Linked DNA regions of Schizosaccharomyces pombe. The protein of the gene in region 2 interacts with the protein of the main gene of each other region in a pairwise test. Each region holds a gene or a part of one and is shown on either strand. Other genes may lie near its edges.

The links.
Region 1: the proteins of prr1 (region 2) and pcf11 interact in a two-hybrid assay, tested with the Schizosaccharomyces pombe proteins (one large-scale study listed by BioGRID).
Region 3: the proteins of prr1 (region 2) and eap1 interact in a two-hybrid assay, tested with the Schizosaccharomyces pombe proteins (one large-scale study listed by BioGRID).

The regions. Positions count from the first base shown.
Region 1 is NC_003424.3:2,255,150-2,260,868, reverse strand, and holds pcf11 (cleavage and polyadenylation specificity factor), read left to right. Parts: upstream 1-1,682; 5' UTR 1,683-2,047; coding exon 2,048-2,197; intron 2,198-2,245; coding exon 2,246-4,012; 3' UTR 4,013-4,271; coding exon of another isoform or gene 4,272-4,934; 3' UTR 4,935-5,192; downstream 5,193-5,719. Other genes in the region: mpf1 (meiotic PUF family protein 1), read right to left, coding at 1-90, 162-926; adenylate kinase Adk1, read right to left, coding at 4,272-4,934; ribonuclease H2 complex subunit Rnh201, read right to left, coding at 5,301-5,719.
Region 2 is NC_003424.3:3,664,345-3,669,630, forward strand, and holds prr1 (stress-responsive DNA-binding transcription factor Prr1), read left to right. Parts: upstream 1-1,587; 5' UTR 1,588-1,662; coding exon 1,663-1,692; intron 1,693-1,789; coding exon 1,790-1,879; intron 1,880-2,635; coding exon 2,636-2,715; intron 2,716-2,768; coding exon 2,769-2,826; intron 2,827-2,969; coding exon 2,970-4,331; 3' UTR 4,332-4,743; downstream 4,744-5,286. Other genes in the region: translation initiation factor eIF2B epsilon subunit tif225, read right to left, coding at 4,961-5,286. UniProt on the Schizosaccharomyces pombe protein: Involved in oxidative stress. Transcription factor that acts upon trr1 and ctt1.
Region 3 is NC_003421.2:746,951-752,170, forward strand, and holds eap1 (eIF4E-associated protein Eap1), read left to right. Parts: upstream 1-1,780; 5' UTR 1,781-1,861; coding exon 1,862-1,956; intron 1,957-2,004; exon of another isoform or gene 2,005-2,039; coding exon 2,040-2,099; exon of another isoform or gene 2,100-2,209; coding exon 2,210-2,262; intron 2,263-2,341; exon of another isoform or gene 2,342-2,528; coding exon 2,529-3,814; 3' UTR 3,815-4,693; downstream 4,694-5,220. Other genes in the region: ribosome biogenesis protein Urb1, read left to right, coding at 1-802; proteasome maturation factor Ump1, read right to left, coding at 1,087-1,242, 1,347-1,580.

The DNA.
Region 1 (5,719 bases), 1.4 Mb from region 2:
ATTATCCTCAATATCCTCATTCTTAAGTTGCTGTTGCAGAGATAGTGAGGCTGCCTGATCATTTTGAAAGATAATTTGCTCTATCATAGCCTAAAAAAAGAATCATTAGCGAAAGGGAATTTCAATTACATTATGAAGCTTAAATTTGAAGAAAGACTTACCTTCCATTTGCTTATGGTTGCGCTGTACTGTAAAGTCTCTTTGCCAGAATGCACAGAGTTTTTTTCAAACGGCTCGGTTGTTCCATTAGGAAATTCATAAAATAGATTTTTATTTGTTGACTCTCCTGGATCCAAAATTTCATTACCCTTGCTTGCAAATGACATTGAGAACGGCGAAATAAAAGAATAACCGAGATCTATCGGGTCGATTGTTTCATTTTTACTCCATAAAGGAAACTGATCGGTATCATTTAATTTTTTAGGAACCACATTGTCTTTTGCGTCATCCAAGGATTTTGGATGAGTCGAAAAACAATTGTTGGTGCCATTGCTGTTTGTAAAAATTCCAGAAGACAAAGAGCAATTATTTTTGCTAACGGGAAATGTGTCCTTGTTTTTTAGATTACAATTTGTAAGATAGGGAGAAGGCTTTACGCAGGAAGAAGTGGTTGACGAAGTCAGATTTACTTCATTAGATAGCTCTACAGACAAAGTCTCAGGAAGTAACTTAAGCGCTGGCGTTCGTCGAAGAGTTAGGAAACTTTTTGGATTCATCTCATAAATCCTTTCTAATTCTCTTATTTGATCCTTCTTCTTCTGGACCTCTAGAGTAGATGACTCAATCTTTTTTTGCTGCTCCGAAACGAGAGTTTGGAGATAAAGAATTTGAGTAATCAATTTTTTAACATAGTTTACATCATTTGGTGTTTTTGGGAGTTCTAAAGACATTCCAAAGTCAATGGGTCTTTCCTCGTCTCTCTGCATACTTTGGGTATGCTCTTTTAAAAGGCAGAAAAATCAAACAGTAAAACCTAAATGCAAAACTAAATTAATTAAAAAGACTTACTGAGATCAAAAGAGAATTATCCAACTTCCCTTGCCTGGACAAAAAATATGCTTTGGGCGAATTCTGATTAAGGGATTGGAACTTTTGTTTACACTTTTTAAGTAAACAAACCACCAACATTCTTCACGTTCCCTTGCATACAACGAGCCAATACTTCCTTTGATAGTTTTCATAATATATTGATAAATTGATTTAGAATAATATGTATATACTTAACTTTTCCTTTTGTATGCAGCCTTCTTAGATATAAAAACTCAAGTTAGACTTTACTTCAAGAATGATTCATACAATTGAAAGTAATTTACTAAAAAAACATTTAATTTGTGTTTTATATTATCGGTTCCATTACTTTTAGATCTTTAATATCACGTCCCGACAAGAATTACTATCAGATTCACCTTAATAGAGTACGAGTTTCTTTGAATCGTAAACTTTCTAAAATTATGTTGAGGTATATTTACAGATAATCCATAAACCATGCATGCCGAAACTGTTATAAAAAAAAAAGCTAATAAGTTATAAGTTAATATTCTCGTCCATAACTTTAAATAGTACTATAAAAAGGTTAATACATTAATGGGTAAATTTAAATACGCTATTTGCATTAGCACGCTTCACCATATTTTGTAATCTGAGAATGATATACACACAATACATAACCTATTAGATGTATCACATACGAATAACTTCCTTACGAGCAACGCTGCCTTGTCCCATAGACTTCTCTTTAAAAGAAAGAGTTTCCTTTTATTGAAAAAGGATACTGATGCATTGAAAATATCCCAGTACTAATATATCGGGTGTTTTCTATTATCCTTAGTTTTTTGAGACTCTCACGATTACAATTTTGTTTTGTAGTCTGCGTGTGTGTGTTTAAAAAGTAAATATTTTATCATTGTGTACAATATTTTGTTTTAAAAGATATTTTTGAGAAAAGAAAACTTTGGTTTTGACAGTATCGGTTAGATAATTTATCATACTTGACTATAGCTAGATTTGTTTAGCTTTACATTATCCTAAACTCAGAAAAGAGAAGAAAATGGATTTAGTGGAATTGGATTACTTAAGTGCATTAGAAGATTTAACGTTTAACAGTAAACCTATCATCCATACTCTTACTTATATCGCGCAGGAGAATGAGCCTTATGCTATTAGCATCGTGAACGCCATTGAAAAACATATCCAAAAAGTATGATTTAACCTTGATTGAAACATATGTGCTAACTCTTATTTACAGTGCCCACCTAACTGTAAACTTCCAGCGCTTTACCTTTTAGATTCTATTTCTAAGAATTTAGGAGCTCCTTATACTTATTTTTTTGGCCTTCATCTTTTTTCGACATTTATGAGTGCATACACCGTAGTAGAACCCCGTCTGCGCTTAAAACTGGATCAATTATTAGCTACTTGGAAACAACGTCCACCGAATTCAAGTTCTTTGGAGCCCGTATTTTCCCCCATAGTTACAGCAAAAATTGAAAACGCATTACTAAAATACAAATCAACAATTTTGAGACATCAGAGCCCTTTACTTGCTAATACTTCAATTTCATCATTTTCTGCTCCTATTGACGCTAATATTAACTCCTACTCCTCATTTTCCGATCCGGCATCTTCGTACAAACCGTCTTTACCTTCTGTTCCATTTGGCTTTCAGCATATTTCGGGCACCAGTCCTTCTCCTGGATTTATTACACTGGACTCTCTTTTATCTGATGTTAACCGAATGATTGTTACAGAACAAGCTAGATTTATTAAAAATCCTTATGACAACATGGCTAAAAAGCGGTTTGAAATACTATTACAACTCAAAAATGTGCTGTCTTCTTCCGCACTACCTTATGACCAATTGCTGGCTATAAAAAACCAGCTGGCACAATTAGAGAAGCCGGCTTCTCCTTCAACGAGTTCTGTTGCTACGTCTGCTCCCTCCGTGCCTTCTGCATTATCATCTATTTCTTCGACTCCTTTTATGAAACCTTCTATTCCATCTACCATTCCTACAATTCCTTCTGCGTATTCGGCTTCTGTATCTTCGCAACCTCCACTCACTCATTCATATGTCCATCCAGGTCCTCAAAGTCACAAGTATTCGTTATCTTCAGGGCCGCCGGCATCCTTATACAACGCGAACGCGTTAACGCCTGAAGAATCGTCTAGTATAGATTCTCTTTTTGCTAATCTGCAAGCTGCAGGGTTGGTTCCGCCATCTGCTGGTGGTAAGTCTCAAGGTCCACAAGCTTCTTGTACTGAAGCTGTGTCTCTAACAGCAGACATTGACCTTTCTAAATCTTCGCTCGCTACTCCTCGGCCCAAGCTATCTTCTTTGTTATATGAGAATTATTCTAACCAATGCGCAAACTGTGGTAGGCGTTATGGAAATGATCCTGAAAGTAGAAAGGAGTTGGACAAACATTCAGATTGGCATTTTCGGATCAATAAGAGAATTCGTGAAAGTAGCCTTCATGGGATTAATCGCTGTTGGTTTGTGATGGAGGAAGAATGGGTCAATAGCAAAGAAGAGGAAGATTTAATTACAGAGACTGCTCAGGAAATCGAAGAACAGCGTCAAAAGCAAATGGAATCCGTTAGGTCACAATATGTATTGACACCCTTAGATCCAATTGCTGCGTCCGAGCCTTGTCCAATATGTCAAGAAAAATTCCAAAGTGTTTGGCATGAGGAAGCTGAAGTTTGGGTCTTTATGAATGCAGTCGAAGAGGAAGGCCGTATATTTCATGCGACTTGTTTGCAAGAAGTACGCCCGTCAGAAAACAAACATTCAAACACAAATACTAGTACACAAAATTTAGCGGAAGCAGCTGTTTCGTCTAATATTAAAAATGCTACGGGTGACGCTTCGAAGGACTCTCAACCTGATGTTCAAAATTTGTTACAAGGCATTGATATTCAAAGTATCCTTCAAGCACTTGGTAAACGCAAAGAGAGAGACGATTCAATGGATTCAATGTCTTCTAAAGTTATTAAACAAGAAAGCAAGTGAGTTTTGTTTTAACCTCATTTTTCTCGAGCTTTCGGATTTTAGCAATAAATTTGAATCATGTACATACAAAAAATATTTCTATATAATCAGCTAAAATATGAGTTTTACATACTGCTTATAGTAGTATAGCAAACTAAACAGTTTACCGAAAACTTTTGGGTTCAGAATATTCTATATTTATATCCTACGAACACTAGGCAAAAATATCTAAGTAATTGAAAAAGAAAGGGGCCCTTCAGCTCTAACCTAAAAAAAATACTTACTCAGCCTTCTCAAGAATAGCAACGATCTGCTCCCAAACTTGCTCAGGTTTTTGAGCAGCATCAACAGCAGCCCATTTACCCTTCTTTTTGTAAAACTCAACGACAGGAGTAGTTTGTTCGTGATAAGTGACCAAACGCTTGCGCAAAGCATCGGCGTTATCATCGGAACGTTGGATAAGAGGCTCGCCAGTAACATCGTCTTTCATAGGAACTTTAGGAGGATTAAATTCCAAGTGGTAGCTACGGCCAGATCCGGGATGGACGAGACGACCAGTGATACGTCTGACCAAAAGTTCATCATCAACTTGTAACTCAAGGACAGTATTCAAGTCAAGTTTGAGTTCATCAAGAAGAGCGGTAAGCTTTTCAGCTTGGACGACAGTACGGGGGAAACCGTCCAGGATGAAGCCGTTCTTGCACTCAGGATTGTTGAGGATCTCATCCTTGATCATACCAGTGACAATGTCATCGCTGACAAGACCACCCTGATCCATGATCTTCTTAGCTTCTTTACCGAGCTCAGTTTGACGAGCTACTTGAGAGCGCAACATGTCACCAGTAGCAAGATGGGCGATGCCATATTTCTTCTGAATGTTGGGGGCCTGAGTGCCTTTTCCAGCACCTGGAGGTCCAACTAAAATAAGTCTCATGCCAGCCATATTTGATCAAATTGGGTATCTATGCAAAAAAAAAACGAGATTCCACAACAAAGCGGTATTTGGTAGTAGTCTAAAATCGGACTGAGAAGTAAAAGAAGACCACCTAATTTTTATAATAGCGAACTTTAACAAGTCGTTATATTATTGTTGGTGCTAAACCAAACTCAATAAACAGAGCAGAAGCCTGGGGTAAATAGAACAATAAATTTATATTATTTTTATCTATAACCAAATGCTAATAAAGGTTTTCTACGTAGCTCCAAAAGCACGAAGCAATGCAATTAATGATTTTAAGCATAAATGTAAATTCGTATCACTCTCACAATTAGTCTTAGGCAAAAGTAGTGACAGAGTATAGTAACTAAACTAAAAATAAAACTCTGATCCAAACCACGAACGAGAAGCCGGATTCGGTTTCTTTTTCTGTGTAAAGTTCAAAGTAGGAGTATCGTCATCTTCGTGCCAATCTATTTCAATCGAAGACTGTGATTTGGAAGGTAATTCTAGTAAATCCTTAGCGGTTTTCCATGAATATCTAACTATGTCTCCCTTCCATCCGAAAATTTTATCGACATTTACTTTTAACCACTCGGTAGTTCGAGCGTCAGAAGAATATCCAGAACCCCAGTTCTCAGTTCGAATACTTTCACGAGCGCATTCCAGTTGAATATCTCTAGTAACTTTAGCACAGATAGAAGCTAAACTCACGATGGGAAAAAGGGAATCTGCTTTTTTAGTGACAGTGACTTTCGCTTGAGGAAAATGAGCTTGTAATTTTTCCTGGT
Region 2 (5,286 bases):
GTCATGGATGTAATGCTATTGCTATTGCTATTGCTATTGCCAGTGTAATAATAAACCGCGGAGCTGAGTCAGCACTAATAGCGTCATACCCTTATCTCTGCACTTATCGTATCGCTCGCCATCTTTTTTATAATTTTACGAGCGGAGAAATTTTTTGATGCAAAAGATATTTAACGAATCAATACATTGTCTTCTAATCCAATAACTACGTATTCTAAGGATGAATACTTTATAATGGGATTCTATGAGAATATTTATTTCGTTTATATAATCTTATGAAGCATTTCAAATAAGCATAACATGTATCTATTCTCTTGTTCGAAAACCGAGCCAAGGGATCAGGGGTCATTTCTAATGAATCAGGGGACTTCTTTTTCTTTCTCAATTCTTATTTTGTTTCCCTTTGTTGATAATGTAAAAGCCTCGTTTAATTGAGTACAATCAGCAAGTGAGGAATCGGTTTATTTCGCTTTCCTTTTCATAGAAAAAGGGACTCGTCCATCAATGTCCTGGCGTCGTTTATTCAAACTTTGTCATTCGGTGCTTTTTAACAGGCAATTTCCGCTTTTGCTGGTCGATCTGTATGCGTCAAAAGTTTTGTCTGGTCCGGCATCACACGATGTTGACAAAAAAATCATCATCCACTGCAAGGTGTAGTGGGTACACAAAGTTGGGTGTGTATTCCCAAATTCCAATGCATTTTTATAATATGCGATAAGCTCCCATAGCTAATCACTTGTCCTTTAACGTTGAAACTACTGTACACAAAGGTAGACCGCAGCACACACACTTGAGCATTCAAAGTAAGAGCGTCTGCTGGATATTCTTATAGCAAGGTCAATTGTGTTGAATGCATAAAGAGCATCTCTTTTCTGAATGGTTCAACGAGCATATTGCACAGTGGATTCCAATAAAAAAAATAAAGGAAACGTAAACGATCGAAAAAAAAATGCTTTTTAAAAAATCCCGTGTCAGCGTTTATACCAAGGAAATATCGCATAGTGATCCTTTTGCTCTACATACTCCACGCATGCACCATCGATACACTACCAAGAACCGCAGCAACTCAGCCTTATTACTGTGTCATCCATCCCATGTGTTTATTCTTGCTGTGCCCACAGCACGCTTGCACAAACGTATGTGGGACGGTCGTTACGTCTGCGATGATGACTGCCTAGGGAGCCCCGCGCGCTTTAGCCGGTTCAGGAAGAGTTTGGGATAATGCAGTACGATGGTATGCACTATACTAGATTTAACTTTGCAACGTTTCGCAATCGGTGAACAGCATCATCAAGTCAAATCAAGCACCGTAAAGGAGAGAGATCAGTACGAAAGATCCCTTTTCTGGAGGGTAGTGAAAAAGACAGTAATATGCGGGTTTCGCATTGTTTTTGAGGGTTCATTAATTGAGAAGTTTTTGCTGCAATTAACGTTAAAAAATATGTCGAATTTGCATTGCCGATCTCCTGCCGTTCATCGTTTAACCAACGTTGCGTAAGCTAACACGCCCTTGTGAGCATCGGCAAATAGCCACATGGAAGCCTCGAGGGTGTCATATCCACCACACCTCAAAATTTGCAACTCTCCAACAACCAACAACATTGTTGAAAAGGTGAAGATTTTTTGTAAATACGACCGTTTGGTCATATATTAAACGAGAAGATGCCGTCTTCGAACGGATCCTCCGACTTTGTATGTTGGTTCCTTTTTCCGATGAATTTTTTATAATTATAAAATTTCACGTTTCGTGATAAAACTATGTTTTCTCATACTAACGTTGTTGAATTAGGTGCGAAAACTCTTCAACATGTTGGAAGAACCCGAATATAGGCATATCCTGCGCTGGAGCGATTCTGGGGATTCTTTTATTGTGTTGGATGTAAGAAATCCTTGAAAATTTGTTTGCTGGATGTAAAAGAGAGAAGAAAGGAAGAATGAGTTATCATTATATTTATCGCCGCCATTGTTGTTATTTAACCAGAGAAAGCATTCTACTTTTATTGTTTATCCTCGAAAAGCTAGTAAAAGAGGGGAGATTTTTTTTGAAGGTTTGCTAAAAAATAATTTTTTTACTATTCTTGATTTGTTTCCTTTTTCTTTCTGATTACAACTTGAATTAAAAAGGATTGACAATGATGGGAAAGGAATCTTTTGAGGCAGCAAGAGATTCCTATCGCAACAATCGGGTTGTTTTATTACAAAAATCGCTTTTCTTTTTGAAATAAAACAATTCTATTCGTTGTTTTCTTTTTAGTATTACCAATGTTACGCTGAAAAACGTCCAGTTTGCCCGTAAACCTGAGTCGTCGAATTTGCTTTGTTTCCATACCCTAGTACTTTGTCCTTTTTTTTCGCATTGCATCTCGATTTTTTCGAACAGACTTATTCCTTGTCATCATCTTTTTTGAGTAATAGTTTTTACATCTCTTAGAGACCAATTTTATTTTTAGGCCTTACCTTCTTTTTAAACTTTGGCTTTTGACTAGCTATTCTTCTAGTCTTATGTTTTTTTTTCTCTTACGTTTGCATTTTTCTCCTTTCTTTGTCACTCTAATCTACTTTTCCGCATTCAAAATTCCTTTTTCCCCTTTCCCCTTTGTTTCCCTGAGTTTATCACTAACTTACTGCTTTTTAGACCAACGAGTTTACAAAGACCATTCTGCCTCGCCACTTCAAACATAGTAACTTTGCAAGTTTTGTCCGACAACTCAACAAGTATGAGATATTTTTATTTATTTATTTTTTTTTTACACTTGCTAATCGTCTAGATATGATTTTCACAAAGTACGGCACGAAGAAGGCGCGCCGAGTATATATGGTGAAGGGGTATGTCATATGGGTTAAGGATTTAGGGGCTTCATACTTGTTGAATAGGTTTGAGAAACAAACTTGTCTTCATTCCATCATACTTGTAAAAAAGCCATCCCTCCTTTTAGAATTTCTATTATACTAATCATTCTCTTCTTTAGGCTTGGGAGTTTCGTCATGACGACTTTCAGCTTCATCATAAGGACCTGCTCGACAATATTAAGCGAAAGGCTCCGTCCAAGCGCAATTTAGCTAACGAGAACACTGCTCCAGTTATTGAAAACCTAAAACAGCAGGTGGATTCTATATTAGACTTTCAAAAATTACTTGATAGAAATCTTTCGGGTCTTGCCACAAGTTACCAAACGATACTTCTTAAAATGTTTGAACTCAAGCGGGGGATTGAGTCTAGAGATTTGCTTATGAGTAGCATCATATCTTACCTCTGCGATTTAGAGGGATCTACTCAACGGCAAGCTAATCCCGGAGCCATGTTTGTTCCCTCTCATCCTCTCCAGGAGTTATTAAATGCATACCAAGCGTTAGCGAAGGGCCAAGTTGCAACTACTTCTCCACAACAGATACCAAATCAAATTCAACAGGCTTCCGCTGCTACTACCGCTTCTTCAAAGATGACTGTTGACACCAATCTTGGCACAGCACAACCTTCTTTGTATAATACTCCTTCATCTGATTATGAACTGGCAAATCAGGAAAAGCCGGCAGACTCCATGGCCTCTGCCGCCTCTCTAAATACCCCTTTATCATCTAATGACCATTCTTTGAATCCACACGCCCATGGCTCATATCCGATGTACGAAAAATTTCAACCGATTCAGCATCCAAATCCAGGAAGCTTTACCACCCATCTTGACTCCAATGCTTCCATGGCAAAGTCATTTTCTCAAATTTCAAACGATTCCCTTGCCAAAGCTAGTTCAGTAGCAACGTCCATGTCTCAAATGGGCGCTGCTGTTCCAACTACTGGCTTGTGGAAGCGGCAACCAAGGATTTTACTTGTCGAAGATGATGAACTTTCTCGTAGAATGACTATCAAATTTTTAACTTCATTTGATTGCCAGGTCGATGTAGCTGTCGATGGAATTGGTGCCGTAAATAAAGCTAATGCTGGTGGATTCGATCTCATCTTAATGGACTTTATACTTCCTAATTTGGATGGACTGTCTGTAACCTGTTTAATTCGTCAATACGATCATAACACACCGATTTTGGCTATAACTTCAAATATATCGATGAATGATGCAGTTACCTACTTTAATCATGGTGTAACAGATCTATTAGTTAAGCCATTTACAAAGTTGACTCTACTTCAACTTTTAAAAAAGCAACTTTTGAATCTTTTACAAGCGGATAACTCAATTAATATGTCTGATGTTCCCTCCACGAAAGAAGCTAAAGACGATAAGGCTCCTGTGACATTTTACTTAGAGAATGATGCTCCTATGTATCCTCAACAGATGTTACAGGATCCCATTCAAGCAGACTTACAGCATCCACATTGATGGAAAAGTCTTAATGTTATATATTTCTTATTTTTACTATCAGGTCTCTTTTACTTTTGTTTTATATAAAAAACTATCTATCACTTCTGTTTGATTTAGTTAAAGGTTTAATCTTTGGTCTATGTATCTATGTTCTCTTTGGGGTTCAAGTTAAGGCTTTCTTTTCGAAGAAAGGCTTTTCATATCCCATGACTAGTTGTTTAAATTCCACAAATTCCAAACAGTGTCGGAATTGTCTTTCATATCAACTACAACTAGAAACATGTACAGAAGAGACATAATCAATATAACTTTTCAGTTTTTGCATTGTATTTTAGCCACTATTTTCTTCGGTTTGCTCAAATTATATTATCTTCATTCGCTTGTTGTATTTCTTACATTTCAGCTAAAAATATTGAATTCGTCCAACTGATATTATCGTAAATAACTATGCGTGTAATTAACAGAATAGTGCTGGATTTTAACAACGCGCCCTGTAGACCAAAATTTTATTTTTCTTCTCTATCGTATTATTATTTGCTAGAAAATAATAGCCAGCTAAATTATGAGTGACCCTTTTTTTTTGAGTAGACAGAAACCACTTTCATAACACTGTTTTAAGTCAGAGTTCAGGATTTGTAAGGGAACTATTATTCTGACCCTTCTTCACTCTCGCTTTCACTTTCAGCAGTATTCAACCAGTCGACAAATTGTTTGCCACCGGCATCACGAAGCGCAGCCAATTCTCCTTCGCTAGAGCGGGGATCAGAATACCATTCTTGAATGGCATTCTCTTCAGCAATTTCTAATTGGTAGAAATATCCCAAAAGTTGTAAAAAGTGCCGAGTCATACTCAAACGGACACAGTACTTCTGCAGCGTTAATACGTTGTCAACTTGCTCTTCATGGCTAAATGTCAGTTTTGCAAGCAATGGACCCCAACGTGTCATTACTTTTGCTAGTGCCTCCTTGGGGG
Region 3 (5,220 bases), on a different chromosome or scaffold from region 2:
TGATTTGAAGGTGTTTGACGATTTGGAAACTACCGAAGGGCTCCTTTCTAGTTACTGTAGTAATGAATGGAATAGAGAAGTCTATCATCCACTATATGCTCTTGGTATAACGGCATCCCTTCTTCATTCGAATCAGCAGGTTTCTAACATTCAAGTTATTGTACAACAAAACTTCCTCGGTATGATAGTAATGGGGCTTTCTCTTTTTAAAGAAGAAGCACGCTTTGCTTGTCTTAATTTCCTACGAAATTTTATACCCATTCTGGACGAACAAAAATTTAGAGAAAAGCATTTAATTAAACTAGTACTTGCTAGTATAATTGTGAATGTACCTTCTTCAGAAAATCGGTTGAGCACGTTAATGGCTAACTTTTATGCTTTCAGCTTGACCGTCATGATGAAACCGACACATCCATTATTTGTAGGAATTAATCGTTATTACCTGCAACGTCAACATGTTGATGTTACAGATATACCGATGTACTATGAATTACTTTATCCATCAACAGATTACACCAAAAGTGTTTACTGGCTACTGACTCTATTACATGCTGGTTTACAAACAAATCAGGATTTAAAAATATATCTTCGACGACACGTATTTGAAATGATATGTACTTTATACAACTCATGTGTAGTCAACAGTGAAATCCGAACACTAATCGAAAAAATATTGCTCAAGGTTGTGGCATTGGGAGGAGGCCCAATGTTGGTTAAATACAATGCAATATACCCTATGCTACAAATGGTCATACCAAGTTTTCAAGAAACAAAGGAAAATACCGTAGTATCGACCACGTAAAAAGGGAAAAGAGAATAAAAGAAAAAATTTTTGGCTGCTAAAATTTAGCTAACTAAAATTATGGGATTTGCGGGGTTGAAAGGTTAGAGAAGGAAATAATAATTCATTAATAGCGGCACGATGATAACTTGTAATTTCGTATCTCGACTAAAATTCTAATAAATGTAAAAATATCTGCGATTGAGTTGACATTCGTAGAACGCGCACATCGTATGAAAAATTTGTTGTTCAAGAAAAAAAGATGAAGTCAAGGGAAGGAAGAGAAGTTTCATGCACATAAAAATTTAGAGACCATATCTAATGGCCATTTCATTTTGATAAGTCATTTCCAAAGGAATAGGGGCAGCATATATGTCGGTTTCGTCTAGGACAGCCTCACGATTGGCAAGAATATCTAAATGAAAGTTTGCAGATCCTCCTAAAGCCAAAGGACGAGAGCTCTATGCTTGAGTCAGTAAAACTAAAGAAAAAAAAAGAGGGGGAAGATATAAGTGCAACAATAAGTAAATATAGCACTATATTAGTCTATACATTAATAACCTACCTGTGAAGCGAGTTTCTGTTCCATTTCACGACGCACAGGCTCATGCAAACCGTAAATTCTACGCATGCTATCAAGGCGAATTTGTTGCTGTTGAGCCTCCCAATTCTTTAATCGACTTTCTAGAGGATGTTTATTTTCAACACGGTGTACAGCTGGAATGCTGGGCTCTAAAACTGAGACTTTGAAGTTTCCAGATACTTCAGCAGCTGGTTCGACGTCAGGAACAATCTTCATTATAAATCTGTGAGATCCTTCAATTCTCTACTTTGTCGAGTATATGTGGTTTAGGATGAGTTTCTACAATAGTGAATCCTCTCTCGTAAGCCTATCGTTACCTTGCATCTATGTTACCTGTTACGACTAAGATTGAAGTGTTTTACCCTTACTATGGAGGACATACTAAGCTTGCATGCGATTACTAGCAAGATGGAGCCAACTTAACCACTACCACCATATTAAAATAACACAAAAAACCATCACAATTGGTATTAACTCGTTCCAAAAAAGGCGATAAGATGTCGCAGGTTATTCAATATTCAGAAGCAGATTTGCTATATCTATCAAAATCGCCGCTCATAAAAAAACCAGAAAATCTGCCTGAATGGATTCTGTAAGTTAGGGATGCTAAATAATCTTGGTTGATGAAAACACCTTCGAGAACCAAAGTATGGAATATTGGCTAACGTTTTACAGTCCGGAGGCTATGAAGGCAGATCGTGAACGGCACATTCGCCAAGAAAAGGAAATGAAAAGGTAGGGCAGAAATATGAATACTGTGAATTTCGCGACACAAATTGATTTTAGTTCTTTATTTGCACTTCATAAGTTCTTTAGAGATTTTATACTAACAAATTTTTGTATAGACATGATGATGATGGACGACAATATCAGTCAGATCGTAAATTCGCTAAATCAAGTAAGTCATTTTGTTTACTATTTTCTGTCGACTGTTAACATAAAAAATTGTCTGTATTGACTATGAATCCTTACAATGCACGTTCAAAAAGATGCGGCAAAAATGTCATATGGTTGTTTACTACAGGATTGATTATAATGTGAATCCATTCTACCTTTTTCTGCATCAGATATGAGGTCGATGTGGAATTCGTGTTTTTGACGTTGCTTCCTTGACATTGTCGATAGATTCCGTCTCTTTGTTGAAATCCTTACTAACGTTTCTAGAACACGACGATATTATTCTTGGGCCACCGAAACTTAGTTTTGCTAGCAGTAATGAGAATGGCAGGTCTGTCGGTCGCCATGATGATTTGCTTTCTTTGGGAAATGTGTATAACGGTGTAGCCTCTCTCCGTTATCGAAATGGCGCTTCTGTATCGCGGTCGTCATCCATTGGTCATTCCGGTTCTACTGCACCATGGAGTAGTGTAGGACGACATAATCGCAAGAAAGACAATGAACATCGTGATGAGATGGAGGGGCTTGAGAAGGTGATGAAACAAAGGGCTGGTAATACTGGCCCACTTGTTGCAAATTCTACTGAGGAATTTGAAGCATGGAAGCGTATGATGAAGGCATCCTCTGGAGAAGCTGGAGCAGGTAATGTTATAACACCCGGCGTCACTTCCACCACTGGAGCCCCTTCAGGAAAAGCTTCGCTTTCTAGAGCTGCCTCTAATTCTTCAACCTCTGCTAGAGCTGGCATTAGTGTTGATTCTCTGTTTGGAAAACGCTCCGCTGCCCAAGCGATGGCTACTGTCGTACCCTCTGTCAGTACACCTGGTGGTACCCCTCCTCGCTTTGCTTCTCCGGCCCTTACAGTTGAATCCATGGTACATGCCGCACCCAGCACAACCACTTCTTCGAGGTTTAGCAAGTTTTTTAACGGACTGGCTGGCCCTGAAACTTCTAAGACTTCTACACCAAATATGTCAAATAACCCATCTCCTCGAGTTGCAAATACCGTTGTTTCTCCTGCTCCTATTCCTACTATAGGTTCTGCTACAATTGACAAAGACGCCGAAGGATTTCAACGCGTCTTAGCTATGCTTGGCAGACAAGCATCAAGCACGACAGGCTCTCCTAAGGTTGCTTTGTCACAAATGCCTCAAGTTAATGTCAACCCTTCCAATCAAGACCTTGCCTCGGTAAAGCAACCTTCTGGGTTTTCACCTCCGTCTGCAGTTGCTCCTCCTCCTGGTTTAGGTAATCACAACTTTTCTAATGATGATTCTTCCTTCTTTCGATCTCTTATGACTTCTGATACTCGATCAGTCCCTCCGCCTCCCGGCTTTTCTACGAATGCTCCTAAAGCAGTTAAATCTCCGGAAATTTCAGCCCCTCCAGGTTTGTACCGTGGTCTGTCCTCTGGAGCTTCTATTCCATCGGCACCCCCAGGTTTCGGATATCAACAACCATCTTTCCCATATTCCCCTGGATTTCCTCCATCTGCTTATAATCAAAATCGAACTGGTTATGGATTTCCAGATACTTCTAGACCACCACATTAAAAAACAGTGTCCTTAGCACGACGGTGTGATGAAGTTTCTCATTTGACTATAGTAGTGGGTGTGTATGCATGTATGCTCTGCGCAGTTGTTATTCCGTCTGCAATGTCGGTAAACTCCTTAACATAGACTTTGCTTTATGATTTCTGATATAAACCGGAGACCTTTGAACGATTTTTCCTTGTTTTAGGAATTTTTAATATGTGAATTAATTAGTACATATGGCTTTTTTTAGAATCTCCTTGTGGTTTTCAGAATATACTGCAACATCGTCATTTGATGAATGGATACTGCGTAAAATGGGACAGAAGGATTTTTAATTAACCGTTTATGAAGATAATTTTTAGGAGTCGTTAGGTCAGTTTATAAAATAGGATTAATCGGATGTTTTAGTTCATGAGTCTAAAGTATGTGATTAAGATGAGTATTTTGGTTATACGCAGTTTTGGGAACTTGTGTCATACCAAGGTATAGACAAAACAGTTCATGATAGATAGAACTAAAAAAATTCCACTTCTCAAAAGTATTATAAATGTTAAAGCATGGATCTGATCAATTGTTTGGCTAGCTGCTGGAATTTTGGTTGCTGCTAATCTACAGTCATTGGTTTCCCGGCAATGTTTTACTAAAATTTTTGTGAACATGTGTTTTTATGGATGTGTGCTCTTTAAAAAATTACATCTTTTCGAGAATCAATGTGTTGAAAACTTAGTTCTTTACGAGAATTCTACTCTAGCCAAACTGTTATCTTTTGGATATACGAACTAGAGAAAGCATCTCTAAATTTTTAGACAAAGTGATACTGCTAGCCGAAAAATAATGAAAGGTTGTTTTTCACGTTTATGTTTGTAATTAATGCGTACTAATCAAATCACATTTTCCTAATGTTTAGATGTGAGATTGGGGTTTTTGTAGGAATATATATTATTTTCTTAATTCATATTTATTTTTTTAATAATTGGCTTCACTTTGACTAAGCGTCATAAAAGAGATGGTATTTTCAACCGATAGAATAAAAGAGTTGTTTAAATGGGAATATACATCGCTAGATCTTTTCCAGTATATTTTTTACAAAGTGCAAAACTATCTTCAAAGTAATATGAAAACATATAAGTGATAAGGCGTATTGCAAGGATTACAATTATTTTTGGACATTTACACCTATGAATTTGGGTAAATCTATGTATGAATCAAACAAACTATAGACAGCAGAGATAAAGGCTCTATAAATGCACCCACGTTTACTCCTATTAATCTTATAAAATTTTAGCACAGAATTAATTGTGTAAAGTGATAATTAAGGCAGGATTGAAAGTTGCGTTTCGACAAAAAAAAATATATATTTATATATAAGTGTGTATAACTCGTAAACCAAGAATGTTAGATGCGATCACCTTTATCCATTATAT